Linked DNA regions of Elephas maximus indicus. The protein of the gene in region 1 interacts with the protein of each later gene in a pairwise test. Links are inferred from orthologs where the notes say so. Each region holds a gene or a part of one and is shown in the gene's direction. Other genes may lie near its edges.

Region 1 (7,028 bases):
TCCATCTTCCAGAAATCTGTTGTGATCTCTCTAATGCTCTTCCTTCTTCTTTTTTAATTTTTATGTGTATTTGTATTTTTTTTAAACTTTTCCTATCATTTTAAGGAGTCCCTGGGTGGTACAAAAGGTTAATGCATCCTGATGGTAATGGAAAGATCGGAGGTTCTAATGCATCCAGAGGTGCCTTGGAAAAAAGGCCTGGCGATTTAATTCCAAAAAATCAGCCACTGAAAACACTATACAGCACAGTTCTACTCTGCCATACATGGGATCCCCATGAATCAGAACTGACTTGGGGACAGCTGTTTTATTTTTATTTTAAAGGGGTCTTGGAAAGGAAGGAAGGGGGCAAAAAGGTTCTGTCATTAGCCCACCATCTTGAATTAGAAGTCCAATCTCCTTGAGGATTACTCCAATTTTATACATCAGGGGATCTATACTTAAAGAATTTAAGTGACTCCAACCCTGACCCCATAATTATGAATAACATGCCCTTTGATGATGGCATCTAAAAATCTAGTGAGAAACAAGCCTCTGCTATTGATGTTACTAAATACCTTAACACCATCTAACACTTTTTGGATGCCACATAAAGCAAGGAACTAGGGCAGCAACTCATGTGGGGAGAAGATGAGGTCGTAGTTCCCAGAAACAGAAGTTCACAGAAATGGGAAGCCATTGAGAGAATTTTATTGTGTTTCTGGTCAAAATGTACAGCATCTTCTTTTTCTTCTTCTACTCCTCTGCAAATTTAATTTAAATTATCTTCTTGTGGAAAGAATATAAAGACAATGAGAAGAAGTCAGAAACCAGAGACTGAAGCAGTTTTCAAACTATGATCTATTCCTCAAAGGTCATAGCTTTTTACCAGATACTAACTTTGTTTATATAGTATCTCTTCCTCTGACTCCCCAATGTTATTTATTTTTAACACAGTTTTTTTTTTTTTTTAATTGATATTTGGCTTGTGAGGTATGGGGTATGTTGGGACGTAGGCCATGTTTAATCTATAAATTAAAAATCTCCTGGCCATTAAAAGCCAAGACATAAAACATGCCATACAAAGGATATCCACTTTGCTTTTAGAAATGTTGTCCATAATCTTTTGCAAGTTACATCGACAATCAAGGGACACTGGTTTCTGTCTGGAATGCCAGATGTTACAAGCATATCATTAAATTAGGCAGATCTAAGGTCAATGGAATTCTTTACTTCTCTACCCTGAATGATCCTTTTCTCCTTGGGCCCAGTTATCTGCAGGCCAGGAAACAGACCATCTATTTGCCCCGGCCCAAGCTGTTTGTTACGGATCGAATTGTGTCCCCTAAAAATGTGTGTTAATTTGGCTAGTTCATGATTCCCAGTACTGTGTGATTATCCACCATTTTGTTATCTGATGTGATTTTCCTATGTGTTGTAAATTCTACCTCCATGATGTTAATGAGGTGGGAATAGCAGCAGTTATATTAATGAGGCAGGACTCAACCCACAAGATTAGGTTGTGTCTTAAATCAATCTTTTCTGAGGTATAAAAGAGAGAAGGAGCAAGAGAGACAGGTGGACCTCATATCACCAAGAAACAAGAGCCAGGAGAATAACCCTAGATCCAGGTTCCTGCACTGAGAAGCTCCTCAACCAGGGGAAGATTGATGACAATGACCATCCCCCACAGCCAAGAGAGAGGGAAAGCTTTCCCCTGGAGCTGGCACCCTGAATTTGGACTTCTAGCCTCTTGGACTGTGAGAGAATAAATTTCTGTTTGTTAAGGCCATCCATTTGTGGTATTTCTGTTACAACAGCACTAGATAACTAAGACACAGTTCATACTTAAAAGCAAGCTAGAAGAAGTGATCTGCCTTTATACCATGGGGGTTCCCTGGGAGCTACAGGCAATGAAGTCCTGCTGGCAGGGTAGGATTACCCTGTAAGCAAGGCATGCACAGGCCCAGTTGTGCCTTCTCACCAATCTGCAGTGTACAATTTCACCTATCTCCTACATGGCAAAGATGTGGTGAAACCCATGTGAAATTGCTCACCACAGGTTAGCAAGTAAATACAATCAACCCCATACATGCCAGTGTATACCTTGCTTGCTGGTCAATCCACCCCTGCCTGCTGGTCAGTTTTAGGAAACAGCAGATTCATTGAGTGTCTCAAGAAGGAATGCCAGGTGTCCAGAATTCTGATCCTAATGGGATGAATGCTTAAAGTGACTATGTAAAGCCACAGAGAAAGGTCTAAATCTGTGCTTGGCTTATAGCCTTCTCATGCTTGTGGTTAGGTGAACATTCATCCCTCGGAATCGATTCGATGGCACTGGGACTGGGTTATTGACATTGCATCCATTACCTTCCAGATTCTTGGTTAATTTTATAGTTTAGGTTTTTGTTTGTATGTTAACTGGTCTGTTTCTTGGAGATGGAATGATGGGGATCATTAGTTTCTAGGCCTGACCAGTGTGAGCTTGGTAATGACTAAGGTAGGGTGCCCCAAATATCATGCCTGGATGAAAGTCTCAGACGTTGTCTCAGAGGTATAACTATATAAATGATTTTACCCTTAGATGGGACTTCCCTTTTGCTCATATTTGGCTTGAGAGGTGCAACTTGAGTTTAGATAAAAGTTCTACACAGTATGGTGGGCAGACTTCTGAGGTAGTCCCAGTGACCCCACCTCCTGGTCTTCACATCTTGGATGATCCTTTCTCTTGAGTATAGACTGAGCCTAGTGAGTCACTTCCAACAAAGAGAATATGAAATAGAATATGGCAAAAGCAGAGATATCACTTTTGAGAATCAGTTACAAAAGTGACTTATGTCTTTCTCATACTCTCTCCCGTTTTCTTTCACGCTCTCATTTGTTCTCTCTAATGAAGCCAGTTGCCATGTTTTGAGCTGAGCTAAGGAGAGGTCCATATGGGGAAGAACTCAGGGTGGCTTTGGGCCAATAGCTAGCATTGGACTGAGAACCTCAGTCCAGTAGCCCGTGAGAAACTGAATTCTGCCAACAACCACGTGAGTAAGCGTGGGGGTGGATCCTTCCCCAGTCAGCCTTGAGATGACCGGAGCCCCAGCTGATACCTCATTGCAGCCTATAGAGACCCAGCTAGGCTGTGCCAGCTTCCTGACCCACAGAAACCAGGTGATAATAGAAGTTAGTTGTTTTAAACATCTAAATTTGGGGATAATCTGTTATGCAGAGATAGATAGCTAATCCACATGCTAAGGATACAGCTACTACATTTTGGAAGACTATGCTGGCCTGTTTCTAATGGTTTATTTCCTTTTCTTTGAAAGCAGAGAATAAATAAAGTGAGACAGTATGCTTTCCCCAAGAAAGTATAATGAAAAGATGCTGATGTTGAAAAGGAGAGGTTAAGATAGGCCTGAGGCAGGGTGAGGAACATATTGGAGTTAAGTTCAAATATTTTTAACTTTTAGCCAATTTCCTTTTCTAGCGTGTGGAAGAAAAGCTTTGATTTTAGAGAATCTGTTGTGAGTGCTGGGAAAGAACGGTAGACTAAGACTTATTTTTATCTTAAAATGCTTTTCACAAATTTATCAGTGCCCTCTTTATTGAGTAAACTGTTATGCAGAGTTGGGAGAGGTCAAGGAAGGGAAACTGTGAGGGAAATGGGAACCTGAATGGGGTTGATGGTTAACAAGTGGCATCTCAACCTACCATGATGAAAATGGCTCTACAAATGATCTCACCCTGCAAGCTTGGGAGAAAACATCTTTGCCTCCAAAACAGGAAAGTGAAGCCATGTCATAATGTTTTGTATATGTGTCCTGGGAAGGGATACACTCGGTAGTGTTTGGTGACAAATGGAGCCAGACAGCTAGGGTGTGCCTGTGTTGCGTGCATTGTGTCCTGCGTATTGGAATCAAGGAAGGGCTCAATAATGATAAGAAGGAAGAACAATGAAATTGAGGAAGTAAGATGACACTTCCTCTTCTTTCGCAAGAGCTTCATTCTCTGGTCAAATTCTAATGGTAGTCCTGTGTAGACTGAGCTGTGAAGCTGGAGCTGCTTAGAGAGCAGAACCCTCAGCCTCTGCCTCAGAGTATTATGAGTGCTGTGAACTCAGGTACAAAGAACCAGCTCTTGGATTTACTCTTTTTCTTGCATGTAAGTAAAGTCACGCCTTGGCTGATGTCTAAGAAGTAATTGCTTGGCCTATCAAGATGGTAAAGCAACGGATACCTTAGCACGAGCTTTAGAAGAGTGAGTTCTGAAATGTGGCTCTTGGGATACAGCATTCACCCAGCTCTTCATAAACCTGCTGCTGTCAAGTCTAGTGCTAAAGGCGCTCTTGAATTTTGTCAGGGCTTTGAGGGAGACTCATGTACTCACTCTGCTTTTCTCTGTTTCTTAAATGGACGTTATATTGATAGCTGCTTGGGCTGTAGACTATGGGTTTGATTTAGAAAAGCACAATTCAGCATCGGTTTGGGGCCTGAGGAGTTTATTTGGGGAAACACCCTGTTGTCACCCTCTTTTGAGAAAGTGTGTTCTTTGTGGCTATCCCCCCTTTGTATGTAGGTGGCAAGGAGCCCTGGTGGCACAGTGGTTAAAGCAATGGGCTGCTAACCTAAAGATCAGGTTTTGAACCCACCAGGTGCTGTGGGAGAAAGGGGTGGAAGTCTGCTTCTGTAAAGATTACAGCCTTGGAAACCCTATGGGGCAGTTCTACTCTGTCCTATAAGGTCACCGTGAGTCAGATTCACTTGGCTTTCTTTGCTTGGGTAAATATGAAAGAAATTTAATTATAGGAGTCAGAGTTACAACCCACAAGGGCATAAATAACTCCAGTAGTGGACTTCATTAGTCCCTAGGGGCTTGTGTGTTCTCAGTACTGTTGTAGGCAATGTGCTATTGTACAATACCCTAAAAAGGCAGAGTCTGAATCCTCCAGAGCTGTTTATTTTACATAGAAAACAGAAACAGAAAGAACACGCATTTATTTCTGCTCACATCATGCAAGTGAGGAGGAAGAGGACTTAAGTTTGTGTACTTGTTGACGTTCTCCTTCTTTAATTTGCCTTTTCGTATAGCATCTTTTTTAGAGAGGGTCCATGTATAAATTATTTCAGGCAAGCTGCATTAAGCAAATACACATCATCGGAATATGGAAATAGGAAGTTCTTTCCTGCGGTAGTTGGCTGTGGCAATAAGAGATAAAACATTACTTCACGACTATTGCCTGAGACTTTCCTTTTGACTCGTGTATCCTTCTTGAACAGCTCACTTCTGCTTTCCCTCCAGCTTGGAGGCCAGGCGGGGTGAGCTGGTAACCAGAGCCCAGGCTGACAATTTGCAGGTAGAGTTAATACAGCTAGTGGTGTATGCATGTGTGAAGAAAATCCTAAACTGTAAGCCTTTTGCTTTTGAAGAAAACCCTGTAAGGAATTACTTTACCCCTAGCACTGAGAACAGTGCCTGCCACATCATATGCTCTCAATAACTATTTGTTGAATGAATGAATGGGGTCTTCATAAAACGAATACATTTGGGTAAACGAAAGCCAAACCTATTGCTGTAGAGTTGATTCCGACTCATAGCGATCCTAGCGGACAGAGTGGAACTGCCACATATGATTTCCAAGGAGCACCTGGTGGAATCAAACTGCTGACCTTTTGGTTAGCAGCTGTGGCTGTTAACCACTACGCCACCAGGGCTTCCAAAAAACTAAACCCATTGCCGTCCAATGGATTCCAACTCATAGTGACCCTGTAGTGGTGCAGTAGCTGTCACTTTATTTCTGTTACCTATGCATACAGGGGAATGCAGGTTGGAAGAGGTCAGAGTGAAGTAGGACAGGAAGGGAATATGAAGGTGTTTTGTAGGAAATAGTTGATAAGACGCCCTACCTCAACAAAGTGAAAAGGGTGGCAATGTGATGGTGGTCGGATGGTGAAGGTGGTAGTTGTGGTAGAGGTGAAGGTAAAGAATGTGAAGGTGGAGGTGGTGGTGGTGATGGCTGTGATGGTGGTAGAGTTTGAGGGGTGCTGGAAGTGGTCGAGGTGGTGGCTGTGATGGTGGTAGAGGTGGAAGTCGTGGTGGTAGAGATGGAGCTGGTGGTAGAGATGGAGATGGAGGTGGTATTGGAAGTGGTGGTGGTAGGGGTGGTGTAGATGATGGTACAGGTTGTGGTAGTGTTGAAAGTGGTGGTTGAAGTGGTGGACTTGGTGTTGGTTGTGGTGGTGGAGAGGACAGTGTGATATAGCAGGAAGAAAACGTATTTTTGGGGTCAGACACATCTGTTCAAAGTCTGTGTCTGCCAGTTAGCAGCTATATGACCTCTAAACCTGTATAACAGCCCTGTTGGCTCAGTGGCTAAGAAATATGGCTGCTAACAAAAAGGTTGGCAGTTTGAATCCACCAGCCACGCCTCGGAAACTCTTTGGGACAGTTCTACTCTGTTCTACAGGGTCACTATGAGTCGGAATCAACTTGATGGCAATGGGTTTGATTTCAATGGGTTTTATACTTTACCAAGCATGATATTCTTCTCCAGGGACTGGTTCCTCCTGATAACATGTCCAAAGTACATAAGACGAAGTCTTACCATCCTCGCTTCTAAAGAGCATTCTGGCTGTACTTCTTCCAAGACAGATTTGTTAGTTCTCCTGGCAGTCCATGGTATATATTCACTATTCTTCACCAACATCATAATTCAAAGGCATCAATTCTTCTTCAGTTTTCCTAATTCATTGTCCAGCTTTCGCATGCATATGAGGCGATTGAAAATATCATGGCTTGAGTCAGGCACACCTTAGTTCTCAAAGTGAAATCTTTGCTTTTTAACACTTTAAAGAAGTCTTTTGTAGCAGATTTGCCCAATGCAATATGTCATTTGCTGCTTCCATGGGGATTGTCTGTAGATGCAAGTAAAATGGAATTCTTGACAACTTCAATCTTTTTTCTGTTTATCATGATGTTGCTTATTGGTCCAGTTCTGAGGATTTTTGTTTTCTTTATGTTAAGGTATAAGCCACACTGAAGGCTATATAGTCTTTGATCTT
Region 2 (7,561 bases), on another chromosome or scaffold:
CTGTTGGGGGGCACTGCCTGGGGAAGGGTTGGGCCCTTCGCAGGGTTGGAGGGCGAGCCCTGGGGCATTGTGGGAGATGTAGGCGTGCATATGCGGTGCGCGTCGCGCCTGGAAGACCCTTCGACTATACCTCCCAGAAGCCTCGGGGCAGGGAACGTGTCCAAATGGGGTAGACTGATCAAAAACCAAAACACCACCACTCCCCTTCACTGGTGGTCTCCGCTCTCCCCTTTCTCTGCATTTCAATTCCTTCCTCTCCCTGTCTCTGTTCCTCTCTGTGCTCCCTGCTCACTGTCTTTGGTCCCTCTCTTTTGTTGCAGCCCCGTGTGACCCCGGAGGGTGAATACATCCCACTGGACCACCAGGACGTGGACGTGGGCTTCGATGGTGGCACCGATCGCATCTTTCTCGTGTCTCCCATCACCATCGTGCATGAGATCGACTCTGCCAGTCCCCTGTACGAGCTTGGCCGTGCGGAGCTGGCCCGGGCTGACTTTGAGCTGGTGGTCATTCTTGAGGGCATGGTAGAGGCTACAGCCATGACCACACAGTGCCGCTCCTCCTACCTCCCTGGTGAGCTGCTCTGGGGCCATCGTTTTGAGCCAGTCCTCTTCCAGCGTGGCTCCCAGTATGAGGTCGACTATCGTCACTTCCATCGCACTTATGAGGTCCCAGGGACGCCTGTCTGTAGCGCGAAGGAGCTGGATGAACGGGCAGAGCAGGCATCCCACAGCCCTAAGTCTAGCTTCCCTGGCTCCCTGGCTGCATTTTGTTATGAGAACGAACTGGCTCTGAGCTGGTGCCAGGAAGAAGAGGAAGAAGAGGAGGCCAAGGAAGGGGATGGGGCAGAGGCAGAAGATGGGACTGCCAGTCACTGAGTTCTCACACTGATCCTGGCGGTGATCCTGCTTCCATGACATGAGCTGGTAGCACCCATCTGTGCCTCCTTCCCAGAGGTCGCAAGATGGAGAGATGGGGCCCTCTCTGGGATGGGGTTGGTGTTTTCCCAAGGCTGACATGCCTGCTGGGTAAATTATTATCTGGTCAGGCCCTGCCATGCCTGGAGGACCCACCATGGACATACTGGACCTTAATTCCTCTGCATTCCATGGTCCCTCCTGAGACCCCCCTCCCCCATTATAAGCCTCATTCCTGTGTCTCGCCAGAGCTGAGGGATCCAGAATCCTGGACCACCCAAGAGGCCAGGACTAGTGGTTCTGGATTCCTCTGTACGGCTGGTCCTGGGTAATTGGAATCAGTGGGTCAGGAATCAGTTGTCTACGCCATCTCTAGGAGAGGAAGTTGGCAGTTATTGAACAGCAACAAAGATAAAGAGTTTGTAGGTCTGAACTGGCCTAAGATTCGAGGGACTCACCCAACAGCTTCCAGACTCACCCACCTGAGTAGCAAATCATTGGTTCTAGATCACTCAAAGAGGGAAGGTTATGGAATGCCCCAAGTATTCAAACCCCTCTCAACTGACCAAAGACAAGGACTGGTTACTGCAAGCCAAAAGAAGACCTTGTGGTTCCTGAGAGCCCAAGAGTTGAGATTTTGTGAATCTAGACCAGGTTTGATCTCAGGAGTTGAACCACCCCAGAAATTAAAGAGTTATGTTTCTAGAATGCACAAAGCAATGGGGGAGTCCGTGGGTCTAGGAGGACTAAAGTGACAGATTGGGAGTGACAGATTGGGAGTTCTTGATATTAGATAACTCAGACACTGTTGAACATCCACTTGAGAGAATAATCAATGCTTCTAAATGACCCATAAGACGTTGGAAAAAAAAAAAAAAGTGCCATTCTAGAATACTGAAAGGAATTCAGATTCTGTGGGTCTCGACTGATCAGAGTCAAGAAAATGATGGTTCTAGAAGTCTAAGGTTTGCTGGTTCCACTTTGCCCAGTGGAGTTGAGAATCTCAATGATTGTGGATTATGAACTGATAGAACAAACTTCTTTGTGGTTCTGTAATGCCAAAAGGAATCAAGGCTCTAGGGATCCAGAGTTGTCCATTACCAAAGCCTGGAAGTTCAAATCACCTCCAGATGGGATGCTTGGCCATTCTAGGAGATGCACTCAGGAATTGAGAAGCAGCATTTCTGGGCTGTCCAGGAAGGCGAGGGCCCAGATAAGACCCTGTAGGCAACAGGGCTAGTTAGTGGTGAGTCTAAAATGCTCTGGAATCCTACACCTAGTTATGTGTATATATTTCTTAAAGATGTTATACACGTATGTATCATATATATATAATATAAATACAGATATCTATTTTTCTCCCCTGGTTCCTACAGGAGGGTAGAAATTGAACTTGAGGTCACTGGAACAAGTCTTTACAAGACTCCAAGAAGCTTTTCTCTATATCCCAACTCTGCCATAACTTACTTACTGTGTGACCTTGGGAAAATCACTCCCCTCTCTTCACCGCAGTTTCCCCATCTGTAAAATGGGGCATTGGAACTTGAAGATTCCTAAGAGCCCTTCCAGCAGGATGGTTCTTCACCTCACCGAAGGTGGGGTGGAGGTGAGGGTCCTGGGTGTTTCACAGCTCTCCCTGGTGTTGGCACACCTGGTCTTCCGGGGTGGCTGGGAAGGGAGATGCTCATGGAAGCTAGGTGTCTAAATCATGGCACATGCAATGGGTAGTGTGTGGGCTGTGGCCAAGGGCCAGTTCACCTCCTCCTTGGCGGCTGGGGATGGAGGGGTGAGCTCGGAATGCCAGGGATCGTCCCGCTGTGAGGACAGTGTGTTTTGGGGGGGGGGCGAGAGCTTCCCCTGAGATTAAAGAACTGGGAGCCCTCATGGGTGTGTTTGTGAGTATGTTTCTGGGACACTGGTCCTCGGAGCTGGCCCTTGGCCCATGTTCCCATCTACCTAAGTACTCCGCAGGCCGAGAAGCAGCCGCAGAGAGTGCCAGTACCAGGGGGAGGACAGTTCCCGCCCCAGTGTCCCAGGACTGAGGACAGGCAGTCATTGCCATGAGCCTGCCCAAGTGCTGCATCAACCCAGGTCCCCCCCCCCCGTGTCCCTACCTCCCGTTTATGCTTCAGAATCCCCACTTAATGACCGGATGGGATTAATTAGCTGGCTTCTCTCCCAGTTTAGGGTGTCTGGGGTAGGGACTGGGGGCAATGGAAACATAGCTCTCAGGGTTATGGGGAAGAATGTTAAGATGGGGTGAAGGGACGGAGAGGGCGCTGTTTGGGAGAGGGGGCAGGGCTGGCACCATCTGGGTCTCCCCTGAGGAGGGCAGGGTTTGGGCTTCTCCTAAAGGTCACTGAGGAGATTAAGAGGCTCGGTGTCTAATCCGTCAGCTTAACCAGGTCCTGGCCCTGAATGTGTCCCCACCTGCCCAGCACAAGAACAGTGAAAGAGGACGAGGATGAGGTCCAGACATCCCCTCAGCCGGAGTGAGGGACCTGCCACTCAACAGGTTTCCCGTCTGGGTTCCTGCATCCGCTCCCCGCCCCCCCCCCCCCCGGCATGGAATGGGAAGGAGGGGCTGGGGAATGGGAGAGGCCTCCTATATGGGAGGATTTTTGAGAGGAGGGAAGAGTCTGAGAAAGGGAAGCGTATGGGAGAACAGACGAACCAGAGGGAAAGGACTCCGAGAGGGATAAGCCATCAGAGAGGTGTGAGGATGTGAGGAAAGGGGAGTTGTTTTAAGGGCAGGATGCTTGCGGAAGAGAGGACTCTTGGGAAGAGGTTGCTAGTGTAGGGGAGGATGCTGAGCTGAGGGGAGAAGTTTGAGGGTGGGAGGAACTTAAGAGGAGGGGAGGGGTGGGGCCTGAGAGGGAAAGGCGCCAGGAAGGCGGAGCTTGCGTTTTCACTATATTTGGCTTTCACTTGTTGCCTTCATCTCCGTAACAGATGGCTAGTAGCGCAGGGTCGTCCGAAAGAAAGAAAAAGTCTTTTGTTTCACCACTCCCTGACTCTAAAAAGCCTGAAGTGGATAGGGCGGTCTTGAAAGTGGTTAAAAATAAAAGGTCTGGAAGAAGGAGCGGGCAAAAACCAGGAAAAGGGTTTGTTTTTTTTTTTACGGGAGGAAGGAACTAAACCAAAAGGAAAGTGAGCCAAAAATGGCTACCGGTTGCCTGGCAACCGCAGCCTTCAAAAGCCAGCGTGGCCAGCTAGGAGGTGTGTCTCATTGAAACAACTGACAGTTTTGGCCCCGCCCCCTAGCAACAAGAGCCACAAAGTACCGTCCCTCAGCAACTAGAGGCGGGGCTCGGTTGAACTAGTCTCCTAGCACCAAGAGGCCTTGCGCAGGCGCACTTCTCCCTGCCCTAGTACTGTTGCACCTCCAGGCAACCCGTTCCGAGGCTTCTCATTGGCGGGCCATTCTGCCAAGCTCTTTCTTTTGTTCCGGAGGCGGGGCCTTGCGCCCTGCTCGCACTCCGATTGGCCCCACGTACCATCTACCTCCGGCCCAATAGGCCTACATCTACTTCTTGCACTCCCATTGGCCCTGGAGGACGGTTTTTGTTTCGGGGGCGGAGCAGACGAGAGGGCCCGCCGTGGATTGGACGGTGTCAAAACGGGGGGCGGTCCCTACTGGCGGGGCGGTTGGGAGGCGAAGGGAGAGTCTTTTCAGCGCTGAGGACTGGCGCTGAGGAGGCGGCGGTGGCTCCCGGGGCGTTTGAGCGGGCTCACCCGAGCCCGCGGGCCAACGCGGATCCCGGCCCGACTGGCGGGACCGCCCCGGACTCCCCGCGGGCCTTCCTAGCCGCCATGGAGGACGGTGTCTATGGTAGGTCGAGGAGGGGCGGGGCTGGCAGGGAAGCGGATGAAGCGTTTCTTCGCGAACGTTCTGCCGCGAACGTTCCCTCCCGGCGCGCGCCGCGCAGAGACGTTCGGCACTGTCGACGCCTGGCCTTTGTAGAATGCGGGCCGGGTTTCCGGCGGTGCCCGAGAGCGGGGCGTTCCAGGCCATTGTTTGGGCCGAGCCTGTTTCCGGTGGCGGCGGGAGGGGCAGAATGGAGTGGCGGAGGCGAGCCCGGGCGGAACCATCCCCGCCGGCGGGGCCCGGCGAGCCCAGTGCCTGCCGGGAGCGGGGAGGGGGCTGCTGGGGGTGGCCAACTGGAGAGAAATCTTGGGGCTTCCCGAGGTCCCGCAAAGGCGGGGGCCTTTGATGCCCCGCCCCCCTGGTGCAACTTTTGTAAGCAGTCATCAGCGTTCCTTGGCATAGTTACTTTTCATGGACCCAGGAGTCCGGACTCCTAGCTTCACTCAGCGCCCAGGAGCCCAGACACCTAGCTACCTCGCCAGTAATGAAGTCAGGAAACCAAGGCCTCGGCCTCCTCCCAAGTAATGGACTCAGAAGTTCAGGCTCCCAGCCCTTTGCTCCCCTAAACTTAATAATTTTCAGGCTCCCACTCCTCCTTCAGACTCAGGGGTCTGGGTGCCAAGTCCTCTCCTCCCCCAGGACTTCCTCCCCTGGACTGAAGAACCCAAGATCCCAGCCCCTTTTTTCCCCATAGACAAAGACGTCCTGATCCTCATCCTCCCCCTGGACTTCAGAGCCCTGTCCCCGGTGCCACCCTCCCTCCAGTCCCCCCAGGCCTGACCTCCAATCCCTGACTCCGGCCCCCAGAACCCCCAGACCTGACTCCAGAGGAGCGCATGGAGCTGGAGAACATCCGACGGCGGAAGCAGGAGCTGCTGGTGGAGATCCAGCGCCTGCGGGAGGAGCTCAGCGAGGCTATGAGCGAGGTTGAGGGTCTGGAGGCCAATGAGGGCAGGTGAGGGCCAGGGTGAGGGACATGGAGTGCAGGGCTTCAGGCGAGGGCTGCCCAAGCATTGATCTCTGACCCCATTCTCTGCCCCTGCAGTAAGACCTTACAGCGGAACCGGAAGATGGCGATGGGCAGGAAGAAGTTCAACATGGACCCTAAGAAGGTGTCTGGGGCCACAGGGGCTCGAGTCCTGGCAGGGGCTTCTGGTATCTCCAGGTTTCAGAAGTGTGATAGCTGTAGGTCTGCTCTAGGTGGACAGACTGGGTCTTCATCCCTGGATTTGGAAATTGGTTGTCCATTTGTTCTCTGAATGCTCATCAAGCATTCCAGCCTCCCAGCCTTTGCTTATGCTGTGTCCCCTGCCTGGGAGGTCCTCTTCCTCTTTCTTCTCACATTTCTGTACCCATTTCTGGTGTCACCTAGGGTCGTAAGAGGAACTTGGGTCTGGTAGGGGACGTGGACAGTGACATGCACAGAGGAGAGTTGACAGTACTCTGATAGAGGAAGGTAGTGGGGCCATGGATCAGGGAGGGCTTCCCAGGGGAGGGGACATTCAGATCACTTGTGAAGGATGAGTATATGGTCACCAGGTAGAGAAAGGACGTTCATGCAGTCATTCCTTTGACATCTGTTTCCTGAGGCCGCCCGGAGCTATGGCCCTATGCTAAGTAGGCAATGCTGAGGACCTAGCGAGGAGTAGACCTTGCCCTGCTCTCAGGGAGCCCCCAGACACAGTCGTCATAATTCAGAGCGATATAAAATGAGAATGGAGGTCCTCATGACGTGGGAGCAGCCAGAAGAGCCCCAGTTCAGCCTTTACTAGTTGGTGCCTGCTTAGAGTTTTTCACTTCGTCTTGCCTGAAGCATTTGGAGTTTGTTCAGTCGTTCAACAAACATTTATCCAGTGCCTCTTGGTGGCCGGGCCCTGTTCTCGGTGCTGGAATTCGCCAGGCAGAGGCAGAGGGGACGGCAAGTGCAAAGGCCATGAGGCGGTGGGATGGTCTTTGAGCACCTGTGAGCAGACTGAGAGTGAAACCTGGCCCTGCTCTGTTGAGAGTGGGGGTGGGCTGGGTTGCTGAGGTTCTGGAGCTGCAGGGGGGTGTGTCTCTCTGGCCCTTGGCACTGAGCCCCAGTGCCCACCCACCAGGGGATCCAGTTCTTGGTGGAGAACGAACTGCTACAGAACACACCCGAGGAGATTGCCCGCTTCCTGTACAAGGGCGAGGGGTTGAACAAGACGGCCATCGGGGACTACCTGGGGGAGAGGTGAGAGCATGCCGCTCCTGCCAGGCCCCTCCCTGCTTCACCTCATACCTATCTCCTGCCCCCTCTCTGCCAGCTCTTGGATGGACTGCCCTACAGCCTCCTCAAGAGGCCCTGATAGACAACAAATGACTGACTTGTCTTTCCTGCCCAGCTTTGATAGGAGGGCCTGGGACAGGCCTCAGGCTTTGTCTGGGGGAGCCTGGGACCACCAGGGGAGTATGGGAATGTCTGTAAACGTCTGGGGACGGTGGAGATTGTGAGCATTTAGGAGCATGAGAACCATGTATAGACAGGTGTGCGTGGGACTGTGAGGACATCTGGGGAGTGTGGGGACCATCTGAAAGTTGAGGGTACACGGGCTTGGACATCAGAGGTACCGGAGACCATCTGTGGACTCTGGGGGACATAGCCTGTCTGGACATCTAAGTTGCATGGAATTACCCGTGAAAGTTTGGGATGTGCACATCTGAGGTACATGGGACTGGACATCTGGGGTGCGTGGGGACCGTCTTGGCATCTGAGGTGCATGGTGATTGTGGATATCTGGGGTGCATGGGGACT

Evidence for each region. The genes of interacting proteins can lie anywhere in the genome.
Region 2: the proteins of IPCEF1 (region 1) and CYTH2 interact in binary tests that used the Homo sapiens proteins (3 or more experiments, as listed by UniProt). The link is inferred for Elephas maximus indicus from reciprocal best matches to the Homo sapiens genes IPCEF1 and CYTH2.

What each region holds. Positions count from the first base shown.
Region 1 is NC_064819.1:226,120,265-226,127,292, reverse strand, and holds the start of IPCEF1 (interactor protein for cytohesin exchange factors 1), read left to right. Parts: upstream 1-4,024; 5' UTR 4,025-4,071; coding exon 4,072-4,090; coding exon of another isoform or gene 4,091-4,131; intron 4,132-7,028. UniProt on the Homo sapiens protein: Enhances the promotion of guanine-nucleotide exchange by PSCD2 on ARF6 in a concentration-dependent manner.
Region 2 is NC_064829.1:98,806,353-98,813,913, forward strand, and holds the start of CYTH2 (cytohesin-2), read left to right. Parts: upstream 1-4,546; 5' UTR 4,547-4,730; coding exon 4,731-4,749; intron 4,750-5,592; coding exon 5,593-5,740; intron 5,741-5,830; coding exon 5,831-5,897; intron 5,898-6,881; coding exon 6,882-7,000; intron 7,001-7,561. Other genes in the region: KCNJ14 (ATP-sensitive inward rectifier potassium channel 14), read left to right, coding at 321-878. UniProt on the Homo sapiens protein: Acts as a guanine-nucleotide exchange factor (GEF). Promotes guanine-nucleotide exchange on ARF1, ARF3 and ARF6. Activates ARF factors through replacement of GDP with GTP.